Linked DNA regions of Coturnix japonica. The protein of the gene in region 2 purifies or fractionates together with the protein of the main gene of each other region. This does not show direct contact. Links are inferred from orthologs where the notes say so. Each region holds a gene or a part of one and is shown on either strand. Other genes may lie near its edges.

The links. The genes of interacting proteins can lie anywhere in the genome.
Region 1: the proteins of SRPK1 (region 2) and DROSHA purify together in Homo sapiens (affinity purification with mass spectrometry; 3 studies listed by BioGRID and IntAct, counting the BioPlex papers as one, with this or other methods). This does not show direct contact. The link is inferred for Coturnix japonica from reciprocal best matches to the Homo sapiens genes SRPK1 and DROSHA.

The regions. Positions count from the first base shown.
Region 1 is NC_029517.1:60,510,871-60,516,786, forward strand, and holds part of DROSHA (ribonuclease 3), read right to left. Parts: intron 5,228-5,916; coding exon 5,070-5,227; intron 4,244-5,069; coding exon 4,138-4,243; intron 900-4,137; coding exon 758-899; intron 1-757. UniProt on the Homo sapiens protein: Ribonuclease III double-stranded (ds) RNA-specific endoribonuclease that is involved in the initial step of microRNA (miRNA) biogenesis.
Region 2 is NC_029541.1:495,967-502,538, forward strand, and holds the start of SRPK1 (SRSF protein kinase 1), read right to left. Parts: upstream 3,535-6,572; 5' UTR 3,520-3,534; coding exon 3,243-3,519; intron 3,160-3,242; coding exon 3,099-3,159; intron 1-3,098. UniProt on the Homo sapiens protein: Serine/arginine-rich protein-specific kinase which specifically phosphorylates its substrates at serine residues located in regions rich in arginine/serine dipeptides, known as RS domains and is involved in the phosphorylation of SR splicing factors and the regulation of splicing.

The sequences.
Region 1 (5,916 bases), on a different chromosome or scaffold from region 2:
GCTCCTAATCTCACATTTTAGCCAGCAGACCATGGTTACTTACTAATAAATCACTACTAGGTACCATAAAAGAAGTTTTAGATATAAATCACTACTGTTTGTGAGTGATTTCCATTTGCTAAGAGGATTTGGCAAAAGCCAAGGAGCTTGAATGGCTCACAAAATGTATCAAAACACACAAGATACAGATTAACTTTCTTCACACAATATCTATCACTATTTCCACTTTCTCTGGAAATAACTTAGCACATACATTCATAAATGGAGGGAAAAAGCATTTAATTTCCACAAAGCTTTCCTTCTAAGAGAATGATCATTTTGAAATATCTCATAAAATGTAGTTAAATGAACCACGGAAATACTCACAGCTGATGGCATTACTTTATTTTTTGATAGTGACAAGAACATATCACAAACACTGAAACTACCATTACAACAGCTTGACTCAATGGCAGGTTTTAACTTTTAAGACATTCTTCTGCTCTAGGCATCATTATCACTACGGTCATCACTTCTAAGATTACAGTTTTGTATCTGCAGTTATACCTCCCTCATATGCTCACATATAGGCTTTAAAAATTCAGGTTGGTGTTTAAAAATATGGTAAGCAGAGATATAGGCATAATTGATTAGAAAATCCAAACATTTCTTTTTAATAGTGATTTGTAAGACTTCTGATGGCTTTCTTAAATAAGCCTCATGGGAAAACAAATGAAGTGCATAAGTACTAAACTGTTATAAAACCACACCGACTCACATTCCAAGAGATCAGCTAGAGTTTTAGTTCGAAGAGCTACGGGTCTTTTTGTCTTGTCATTAGTGATGGCGAACTCTTGCATTCCCAGCTCTTCTGCCACTTTGGCCTGCGTCCTGTTGTTCACCAAAGAGCTTCTCAACAGCTGCAATAGAAGGAATTCCACACAATGGTAACAAATAGCAATACCAAAATATAAAAGGCAGTGAGAGCTGGGGGAAGTTACTCAGTTTATTTTTGCTGCCACTCACTTCCCAGTCTATTGGTGTTTGTTTCAGCACATCCTAAATTATTTAGGTAGACGCACACACATACACACACACACACACACTTCTTCGCATCCTCATTCTTTCTACTGCTGATTTTTCCCTTATGTTTCACTTCTCATCAGATTTTAATCCTTTTTATCTCAAAACATGTTCCTTCTACAGACAAGTCTTACATTTAGAATGCTGGTTTGAGAGTTTTTTTGCATTCACATACCATCTCTTCATCAGTCCTATACTTTCTACTTTTTCCTACTGTACACAAAGTTATACAAACTTTTTCCCACACGAAGTATAAACACACAACACTTGTGAGACTACAGCACAATCCCAAACGTCCACCAAACAAGAAGTGGGCAGTAATTGAAACAAACACACACTGAAGCAAAACTTCAGAAGTTTCAGAAGCAGCAGGTGAGAAAGATGCTCCATTCATTTGGGCAGAGAAGAAAATGCTTATCTGGATAGCCCATTTGCAATATCACACTGTTCTACTGAAGGCAGCATAGCTGAACTAATATATCCCTGATGTAGATCAGGCTCTAAAATTTTTAATGTGTGACAATGCCCAGGATATCTAGTTCTCTAGCAGAGTCTCCAAAGTGCTTACCTCTGATTTTAGGCAGATTGCTTAAATAAACAGAAACCTGTCAAACATAAAATCTCAGATAGCTGAAAGGAGAATTTCAGACTTTCAGGATTCCATTCAATTTCCCAAATGCCTAATAAAGATGAGCTTTATTTTTTTATTTTTTATTTTTTTATTAGATATAGCCATTTAATAAATTCCACTCTTATCCAGAGTCCTGAAGCTGCGTACAACATTTTTACCTCTTTGTCTTCCATGTCACATTTGCACAGCTTATTAGTTCCAAGTTATATTCTACCTGGCTCCAAAATGTCAACTGAGCTTATGAAAATAAAGATTTATTCACTACACTTGATACTTCATCTCTGACAATGGATAAATAAAGAACAGTATGTTCATAATTTGTTCGGCAATGATGTATGAAGCAGATACTCACAGCCTGATCTTCATAAACTAGGCAGACTGCAGAAAGGATTAATACCTTTCTTCCTAACCTATGCTAAAACTCATCTTCTGTTTGCTCCTTTCCAAAATCATTCCTTTTTATGTCCTTAAGACAAACAATCAGTATTATTCCCAACCTAATCCTAACTACAGTATGCAACCTATAAGAAAGAAGCCCAACAAAAATCAAATGACAATTATCAGCTTCTTGAAATGAGAGAACCACAATTTATTTTGCTGCACTGGCAGAATATTTACTGCAACACATCCCAAATCCATGATTAGTACTATCATAAAAGAACCACATACACACTACACAGAGAATTAGAGATGACAAGAGTCAGTTGTACTACTTACTACCCATGACTGCAGCATAAACACTGCTGGAGAAGTAGCTTCCAGTACACAACAAAATTTCATTGTTTTGCTTTTTTTTGACAGATCATTTAGCTGCCTCAAAAAACATCTATAAAATTGCAATCCCTTTTTCTTATATATAGTTAATTTTGACTTTTCTTCACAAGAAATCACTGGATATCAGAAAGACACTGCATAGCCAGTCAAGCAGAATCTTCCCATCACTTACCAACATTGTCTGCAACACTATAGACACTCATCTGTCTGATGTTTCACTACTTCAAATCTCCCCAGGAGGACGGAACCTCATGTTTGCTGTTTCTCTTCAGGTCTCACATCATCCGTCTACTCTTCTCAAGCCTCATTTCATTTGTCCTCATACTTAAAAGACTTTCAAAGACTATTTTCTTTTCTACTGTACAAAACCACAAAATTAATTTTTTTTTTCTAGGCACTGCCTACCTCTCTGTATTGTTATGCACTTTCAGCATTCATTCTACTCTTTGTAGTTTCCCCTGAATCTTGGGCAATGTGCAGCTTGTTCTACTTGCCAATTCACTTATCATTAAATTAAGCAACACAGAGACATTCTGATCGCCGTTCGAGTATTTACACCCATTAACAGCAACACTATGTCCTTCCTGCCAAGCAATTCCTGAAAGATTTATCTTACTATAACAACACTGATGCCCACATTCTTAAAAGTCACCTACAAAGGGAAAAAAAACTGCAAATCTGGATTTCTGCCTTCTGTTTTTGTTTCCTCTGTGAAAAATTAATGACAAGCCTCTTTCCCTTTTAATTTTTACATCAAAAGATCAGGCTTTATCAACTCCTCCTGAACATTGCAGAACAATTCATACAAATGCAAATGAAAGTCAAGAAATGGTAACGAAAAATGAAAATGGGAGCACACATACTTTCTGTTTCTTGAAAACAGCTAAGCAGTGTTTTCTTCAGGAATCTGTCAGAGATTTAGCATCTCCAACTCTTCACTGATTTAAAAAATCCACTTGCAGTAGCAAAGACATCCAAAATATTACTCCCTAATTTTAACTAGAGAACTTGACGTATATCCATAATACATGTAACAATTTTTTAATCTCATAATGACTTGAAAACTAAGAAAAATTCAGAAACATTAAGGAGAGTGTCATCTTCTCATAGTGCTTAATACGAGCTGCAGTACTAAAAGATTCAGTTAATCAGGAGAAAAAGCTACATATCTCACAACCCTATATTTACAGTAGTGTATGTTACTGTAACACTAAAACTAAATTCCAAAGTAACTACAGGGGATCCATATTAAAAGCAATAGGTAAAAAATAGTAAAACATAGTGAGAATTTACTGTCTGGAAAGGAAACTCTACTACCTTGTTGCAGGTTCAATGGAAAATGAAAAAGCACTTATGTGCGTATTTAAATAAATGGCTTTAAACATGTCTTTAAGTATGACCTAATCTTTTCTCTCAGTTTTATAACTGACATCCTTAAAATTATTGATTCATTCCGCAGACAACAAAAATTATTGCACTGAGCTCATAAATCACCATTTCCTACTCACTGCACAACACATGACTTAAAATTAACCAAGTCTTATTAAGAACAGTGGCTGCTGGGGCTTCTTTTATTAATCAAATCTAGAATAATTCACTTGCCACTTCCATAATTTCAGTCTCCATCCCGCACTTGCTTTCCCAGAGACCATGATTGATGGCAGTCTCACCGTTAAGTGCCCTTCATGATGATCGGGGAAATGTATGAATAAATACTCTGTGGCTACCAACTGCATTATGGAGTCACCCAGGAATTCCATCCTCTGATTGTGGCCTCTGAAAAATGAGACATCAATGCAGCAAAATCAATAAGTACTCAGGGAGGAAAAAACAAAAGCAGCATGCATATAGAAATTAAAATAAAGAATGATCTGAAAGCCAATGTTACTTGTTTTTAAACACTTTTAAGACAGATTTCCAGCATTAACACTAGTGAGACGAAAACAACAGAAACTGTTGTAACTCTGACTTTGACTTAGAAAGCAAATCAGGGTAGCACAGTTATTAGATCACAGGTCTAGGACATCTGCTGACATCAGGTTTGTTATGGGATGAAGTCTCTAATTGTCTCTACCCAGTGAGTGCAATGACTTCAGTAGAGAAGAAATTTTGTCCTTTCACAAGAAATAGAAGGATCAGGGTTTAAACCCATGTGAGAGCTTGGACTAGGTATCCACTGGTACAACTATTTTCTTTACAATAGGTTATAGCAGTTAGACACCCAAAGCCAACTGCATGTTTATGTGCTGTACACTCAGCAGAATACAAGGGCTGTAGTTGTCCCCAAAAGCATGACTTTACTTTTTGCCTCTGGCCAAGTGTATCTTCAAGCACATTCGGATAGTTTCAGGAGCAATAACCCAAAGTCAACAGTCCAGGAAGCTCAGAAGATACACCAGTATGGTTCCCTAACACCCACAGAATTCCCAAATTATTCACTACTACAGAGACAGGATACTCAGTGACACAGGCTGGTGAACATTTCTGATCTTCCTCTTCTGGAGAACACACAGATAACCTAGAGTTTGTCAACAAATAAAGCAATGTGGTCTACTAACAGTAGAGCCATTGAGCCCTAAGAGGGCCCTTGCCACATACTCACAGAGTCAGATGGTTAAAGCCTACTGTCCTCAGAGTGAACGCACGTGCTAGAAGTCGAACATGAGTAAAGATGACTCCAATTGCCTCCTCAAACTCTGTAAGCTTTTGAAGAACTGGAGAGGTCTCAATGAGTTGCCTGTCAGTATTAGATTCCTGCAGCTGTAAATAAGATGAAAAGTGAGCAATGACAAACTGGTACTTCAAGATATTTCAAAGTATTTCAAGAATATTTCAAAAGAAAAACAAATGTTTTGTAAAACAAAGTCAGAGAACCCAGTGAACAAGGATTTTTGTGGACAGCTCAAATGAGAAAAGCCAGTTTCCTCTGGGTTTTTTTCTTTCATAATTAGCATTAAAAGAAAACATGAGGTCTGATGAACTTGCTTGAGATTTTTTTTGCCTGTTGGTTTTGGCATTTGTTGGTGTTTTTTTTTAAAGCAACACTTGAGGTATTTATAATTGCTTATATATTGCTTATATGGTCTTGCCCCATGTGAGTAGCATGACAATGAAGCAAGATGAGAAAAATGAAACAAATCTATTTCTCCCGCTTTAGTATTAAAAATGAAGTAGTGTATAAAATTCACAAAAACAAGAAAATTAAAAAGATAACTTTATGTCAGTAAGTGTTCTTATCAGTTTCTTGTCTGATGTCCCTGATGTGTGACATTGTAAATGGCTTCCCAGGACAGGGAAATTACTTAAGCATTTCCTCCAGCAACCCTAGACATTTGTCTTGTATACCAATGCCTTAGAGGAGAAGATAGTCTGATGAAGATGCTTGTAATAAGCATGCAAGCATATTAAGGATTTTCCTGATAACTACCTAACACTCCAATTATCAACCG
Region 2 (6,572 bases):
ACTGCCCCAGATGAGCACTGCCACTGCCCTCCCTCCTCTAGCAAAAGCAGCTGGAGGAACTGTGAAAAAACCACCTCCTACTCAGCAGAGCCCACGAGTCAGGTTGATTCACCAGGCACTCCATCAGAAGAAAGTACTGCAATGCACGTTTCTCAGAACCCAGACCACAGCTGTATGGCTACCATTACCTCTGCAGTTAGTCACGCTTACAGTAGTAAAGTGTACTGCACTGAGGCACAACCAGTTCATCCCCCTCATTCCCCATGCACAGCTGCTGCTGTTTTTGCGTGTGATGGGGCAACTTTTCCTGGAATAGAAAAGCAAAATACAAGGCTTGATGAAATGCCCAATTAATGCAGCATGCAGACTCACAGCCTGGTTCTATTAAAATGCTCATTTTACTCACTTCAGAAAAATTAAGCTGCAATACAGAACTATTTGTTCTGTTTCTTGTCTAACTGCTCTCAATCTAGTTATTTTGGAGCCTAGTTTTTTAAACCCTGATTCTTAGGCACAGCAGTACCTGGGTCAAAGAACAGCCTGGTGATCCGAGCCTGTGACACAGATAGAAAGAGCCACAGAGTACAACTGCCAGCAAAATACATACTACCATTGTGCTTAATTCCATTACAAATTACCAGAGATGTGAGTAAAATACACCTGCATTTGTATTTTTGGTCAAACAGCAGCTGTTTTGTATCAAATCTTCCCACCTGTATCTATCTTCCCACTTCCTGGGCTTTCGTTCACATGATGCAAGACTTACAGTACATGAAATGACACTCCAACAGAACAGTGGTGAGTGCCAGCCTCGCTTCAGCCAGGAACAGCTGCTCTGTCTGCAGAGCTAACTCCCAGCAACGCTCCCCCTCCAAACACCACCGAGGACTCAGAAGCCAAACAGAAACCTGCTGCTCACCTGCACTGCTTCCAGCACACCAGCTCCATAGAACACACAGCAGCCACCTTGTGGCTGATGGAAGCCTGTGCTGCTGGAACAGCCATTGCATGGCTCCCCACTGCTCACAGCAGACCAGAGCACGAAAATGTGGGGATTAGTTCACAGGAGAAAAATCAACATGCAAACACAAAGGAGCAACGCACAGCTCCAGACCCTTGTTCAAATTATAGAATCACCAAGGTTGGAAAAGACCTAGAAGATCATCCAGTCCAACCATTCATCCATTACCACTAAACCATGTCCCTCAACACAACATCCAGTCGTTCCTTGAATACCCCCAGGGTCAGTGACTCAACCACCTCCCTGGGCAGTGCATTCCAGTGCCTGACCACCCTTTCTGAGATGTAATACTTCCTAATGTCCAGCTTAAATCTCCCCTGCCGCAGCTTGAAGCCATTCCCTCTGGTCCTATCCCTAACGACACGAGGAAAAGGCTGACCCCCAGCTCACTACAACCTCCCTTCAGGAAGTTATAGAGAGCTATAAGGTCTCCCCTGAGCCTCCTCTTCTCCAGGCTGAACAATCCCAGCTCTCTCAGCCTCTCCTCATAAGGCCTGTGCTCCAGACCCCTCACCAGCTTTGTTGCCCTCTTTTGAACATGTTCCAGGGCCTTGATGTCTTTCTTGCAGTGAGGGGACAAATGCTGTGCCCAACACACCTGCCTGCCAGCACTGAGTTCTGCAGGGGTCAGAAACTGCTTCAAACAATGAAGCCATGCCAAAACCTGCATTCCTGACAGTCAGGCAAAACCATTGACCTCAACGCACCTCAAGATCCAGCTGCTTGAAAGGTTGATGGTTCAATCCATAAACTGTTTAGTTTTGTATTTTTATGTTTAACCATAACTAGAGAATTCCTAACACCAATTTCACCCTTTCAAAACTCACGTGTGCTACACTTTCTTACTAACTTCATACAGAAAAGCTTGTAAGCAATCAAATATCACTGAACATAAGATGTTAAAGAGACATTCCTTGTGGCTTCGAGCCCAGATGTTATGGAGGGAGCCTTACAACAACCCAGTAAAGCTTATTTTAGATTTAATCAGAGCCGCTTTGTATTTAAATAGCATAACTGTTGGGGTGCTGTGCCTCAAAGCTGGAGGTTGAGCTTTTATTGCACCAGGTAAAGCCCAAAGTACATACGTAGAAATACAATGCACATCTCCCAAAGAGCTTGGTTCAGCCCTTGACCTCTCCAGAGCTCTCTCAGAACAACTGGAAGTCTGTTGGAGACAGAAAGCAACAGAAAAACTCTAAAACAGCACGATTTGTCAGAGGAAGTGACTAATAACACGCTGTAAAGAAAGATACACAGAACTCCCTGCACCACCAAAGCTTTTATGTAGGAACCATTACATGGCCTGATAGTGACAGGACAAGGAAGAATAGCTTTGCACTAAAGAAGGGCAGGTTTATGTTGAGATGTTAGGAAGAAATCCGTCACCAGAGAGAGGTGAGGTGTTGGCTGCTGCTCAGAGCTGCGGGTGCCCCATCCCTGCAGGTGCTCAAGGCCACGGATGGGCCCTGGGCAGCCTGAGCTCAGGGGACACTCGGCTCACAGCACGGAAGGGGCTGTAAGGTCCTTTCCAACCCAACCATTCTATGGGGCTGTGACCTTTAAGGGCCTTTCCAAGCCAACTACCTACTCTGTGGTTCTCTGATCCTTAAGGTCCTTCCAACACAACCACGCTGCAGTTCTGTGCTCTCACCCAGCGGACAGCAAAGCGCTCCCAGCACCACGCAGCACCGGACCGGGCTTTACACCCGAACCGGGTCCGCGTGCAGCACGGAATGCAGCGTGCGACGAGCCCCGCAGCCGGCCATTGTTCAGATCCTTCCATTTCTCTATCCGCGCGGTGAAGCTCAGCGCACGAAAAGCCCCGTAACATCCCTGCGGCCAGAGGGCGGCCACGGGAAAACAGCACCGTCAAAGAGCGACGTAACCGCGCCAAGGAGGATTTTAATAGGAGGAAGAAAGGGGCGTGAGGGGAGGGCGAGACCTCCGGGAGCGGCGGGAGGGGCCGCGGGGCTCCGGTACCGGGACAAAGCGGCTCCGTTTCCCGCCCCACGAGCGGCCCAGCGCCCCGAGCAGCCCGTCCGGGATGGGTGAGGAGGGGCAGCGGGGCCGCACTCACTTTCTCTGGGCCTTGTCCTTCTTGGCCTTGGTCCGCTTCTTCCGGGCCTGCAGCGCCAGCACTGAGAGGAAAGAGACAGAAAGAACGTGAGGACGGCGCGGAGCCGCCGGACCGAGGCCCCCCCGCAGGCCGCGCGGCGCTCACCTTTCCGCTCCATGGCCGCCAGCGCCGGGAGCCCAGGGAGTCCCACGCGCCTGCGCACTGCGCCGTGACCCTGCGCCGCGCCGAGCCGCGCCGGGCGGAGCATGCGCGGTGCGAGCGGCTTGGCGCTTCGCCCGGCAGCGCCGCCCGCCCCGTCCACGTGCCCGCTGTCCCCGCTGGAGGCGGAGCTGTGCGGGGAGCCCGCCCCGCCGCGCTGCTGGCTCCGCCCCCTCCCGCCCGGCGCGGGGCGGAGCTCCGACGGCTGCGGGCGCGAAAGCATCGTGGCGCGCGGCGGCGCGCGCGGCGGAGGGAGGGGAACACCGCGCGTGACGTCATCGTCGTAGTTGTGACGTCAGCAACCGACGCGTGCTCCAAAAGTAATGCATCCTATTTATTTCCACGGCCGCTTCAACACGTACGAAGAGCACAATAATGTTTGATAGAGCAAATTCTCACCTACAAAATGCTGCTTTTCGGTATAGTTAATGCCACTAGCTGAGCGTTTTTGCCTGTGATAAACAAGAGCTGTCCTGCCGTGTCCACAACAATCTGCAACAGCAGAGGTGACCCACTGACACGCACCCCACGCTGTGCTCACAGCCACTGCTCAGTGCCCATAAACATTAACGAGTGCCAAGCAGTGCCATGTCTGCCACCCGGAGGAATTCAGGGACACACCTTGGCTTCATTTGCACTCTCGTGTCACACACATCACTTTGCCCCCCTGCTGCTATGTCGTGCTTGACCAAATGTAACAGAACATTGCAGGGAAGGTTGAACCTCTATTGCCATACCACCACTATCTGCCTTTGGCATCGTGGCCCAATGTAACAAAATAGGAGGCATTACTTTTGGAGCTGCCCTCGTAGGCTTGGCATCAGAAATGTGGGTTGGAATAATCATTAGTGTCAGAGCAGAATTAAATTCAATGATGCGACGTGGAGAAGGATGCCCTCACTCTCAAATTTCAGCCTTCCACAACGACTGTGCTACAAGTAACACTGAGACCTTGAGCACGATGGAGTACACTGCTCACATCTGACAGCAGCCACATAAGAAAGTTCCTTCCTTGAAGGAGTCGCAATAGACCACAAACACTGCTGCAAGCTCAGTGTATTGGCTGCCTGTTCCTTCTGTGGGAACTGTTGTCCCATATTTGCACTGGGACTCTGCAGTTGGTCCTCACAGCGCATGTTCACACCCCTGTCCAATACTATGCATCACACTTCAGTGAATTTGGCCCTCAGAGGGATGCTGAGACGGCCCTTTGAGGGCTGGTGGCCCAAACACAGCCACCTTTCCACAGCCAGCCTGGCACTCATTTTTGAAGCAGAGCAAATGCCACCACAAACTATGCCCATACATAACCAGTTTACCTGGTCCTTCCTCATAGCTCCCACACAGTGTCACACAGTGCATCCTGTTGCCCTAAGAACTGTTTGTGCCACACTCTGGGCAGCTCCTGAGGTTTCTCTACTGCTTTATGTTTTCTGCAGCCATGTGTGAAAAAAGGAATATGTTGAGAAAATGCCAACACGGCTGGCAATGTTACACACACTTTGCATGGTGATGTTCTGGGATCTGCAGCCTGTAATTCAGCACAGTGGGAAAGCTGCCTGGGATTCTGCAGCATGCCTTTCTAGGAAAACGTCATGGGTTTATACTAGTTCAGAAGGACATTAGAAAGTTGCCGTCTGCACAAAACAGCTGCATTTGTTGCAACTAGGTCAGGTGAAAACATCAAACTGCCTCCAAACACACTACTGCAGGCAGGCCTTTCAACTCTGACTTTAGAGGTACAGGTGGAGTCCTTGGCCATAAAGTACGTGCTCTGTCACTGCACAGCCTGTGTCCAGGGATTTGTGCTTGGTGAATCACAGCAGCATTGTGTATGCATGCAGGAGCTGAGGCACTGTACAGCTCTAGAGGAAAACGACCAGGTTTGTCTGAACTTCCTCCCAGTGAAGTATTTGTTTTGAAACAAGAATACTCATAATTTGAAAACTAACACGCTGATGTCCGAGCTGTCCCCCAGTGTTCCACTCTGCAGTCTTGTGGTAGGAAGGAAAGACACTGAGCTCTGCTCAACAAGCTAACAAAAAATTCAAGTCTTTGGTTTGTAGTGGAACCTGTCCAGGTACAAATGCCATTTCACCTTAAATCAAGGCTGCCATTGTAGAGTCAACAGAATCTGGAAATGAGGGCTATGCTTTTCATGGGTTTTGTATTACACTGTTTTGAACAGACTGAGAGGAGCTTGGCATGAAGCCACTGTCCAAAACAATGTAGGGAAGCATATGTGGTTTGAAAATTACTCAATACCATTTGAGCTTTCAGTTTTTCCTATCTTTCAGTCCAAATGGTACGAGGGCTCCAGCACTGTTTCCTCTGCAGTAACTTGGCACAGTTCACCAAAATCCGTTACCATTGTAGATCACACATGCAGAACAGCAGATTCCCTTGGGAAACTCCTTGGAAGCAGAAAGTTAAATTAGAAAGAAAAAAAAAAAATATGGATGAAAGGAACTCACTGGAACACATTGCAGATAGTCTAATATTAATATTCCCATTAGACATTGTATCATTGCTGAAGTTTAGCAGCCATGAGCAGCAGATTTCAGAGGAACCATCTTGCTTTTATTCCACACCAAGAAACCATATGATGCCCAGCAGCAAAAGTTAAAGCTGTTCATATAGGAAGGAATTTAGCCCAGAACATAGGATCTGTATATAAAAGATCCATCATTTACATCCCAGTTTTGCATTAAAATGGGGTCTGATTGGTATACAAACAAATGTTGTCCACTCATCTAAAATTAATTTTACCTGTGACTCTCTACAATGGGCACTCTGTGCCATGGAACAACTAAGGACATGGCAGAGTTCTGTGACATACATTGCTGGTATAGTTAAACATTGCTGCTGTTAGTACAACCCTAGCTCAGACTGATGCAGAAAATATGAGTAAGCTGAATTTTTATTCCCAAGTGTTACCGGTATCTTATTCTACAACTTTTTCTGTCTCTTCAGAACAAAATAAATACCTTCCTCCATTCTTTACCATTTCAGTAAGAGACTACAAAGAAAATGTAAATAACATTTCTGTTTACTGGGATTTCATTCTGGTAAAATAAACAGACAAAATATTCATCTTCTGTTAGTGCTGACAATATCAACTTGAGCAATTTGTTGAACAGCAATAAGAAAATGCTTTTCTTTGAAGCTCACATCACTCTACATGCTCTGAAGACAATGAATCTGCCTGCATGTAATCTGGTCAGATACGGCAAATGAGTTTTACTTACTACCAATCAATGAGTACATAAAAGGTGC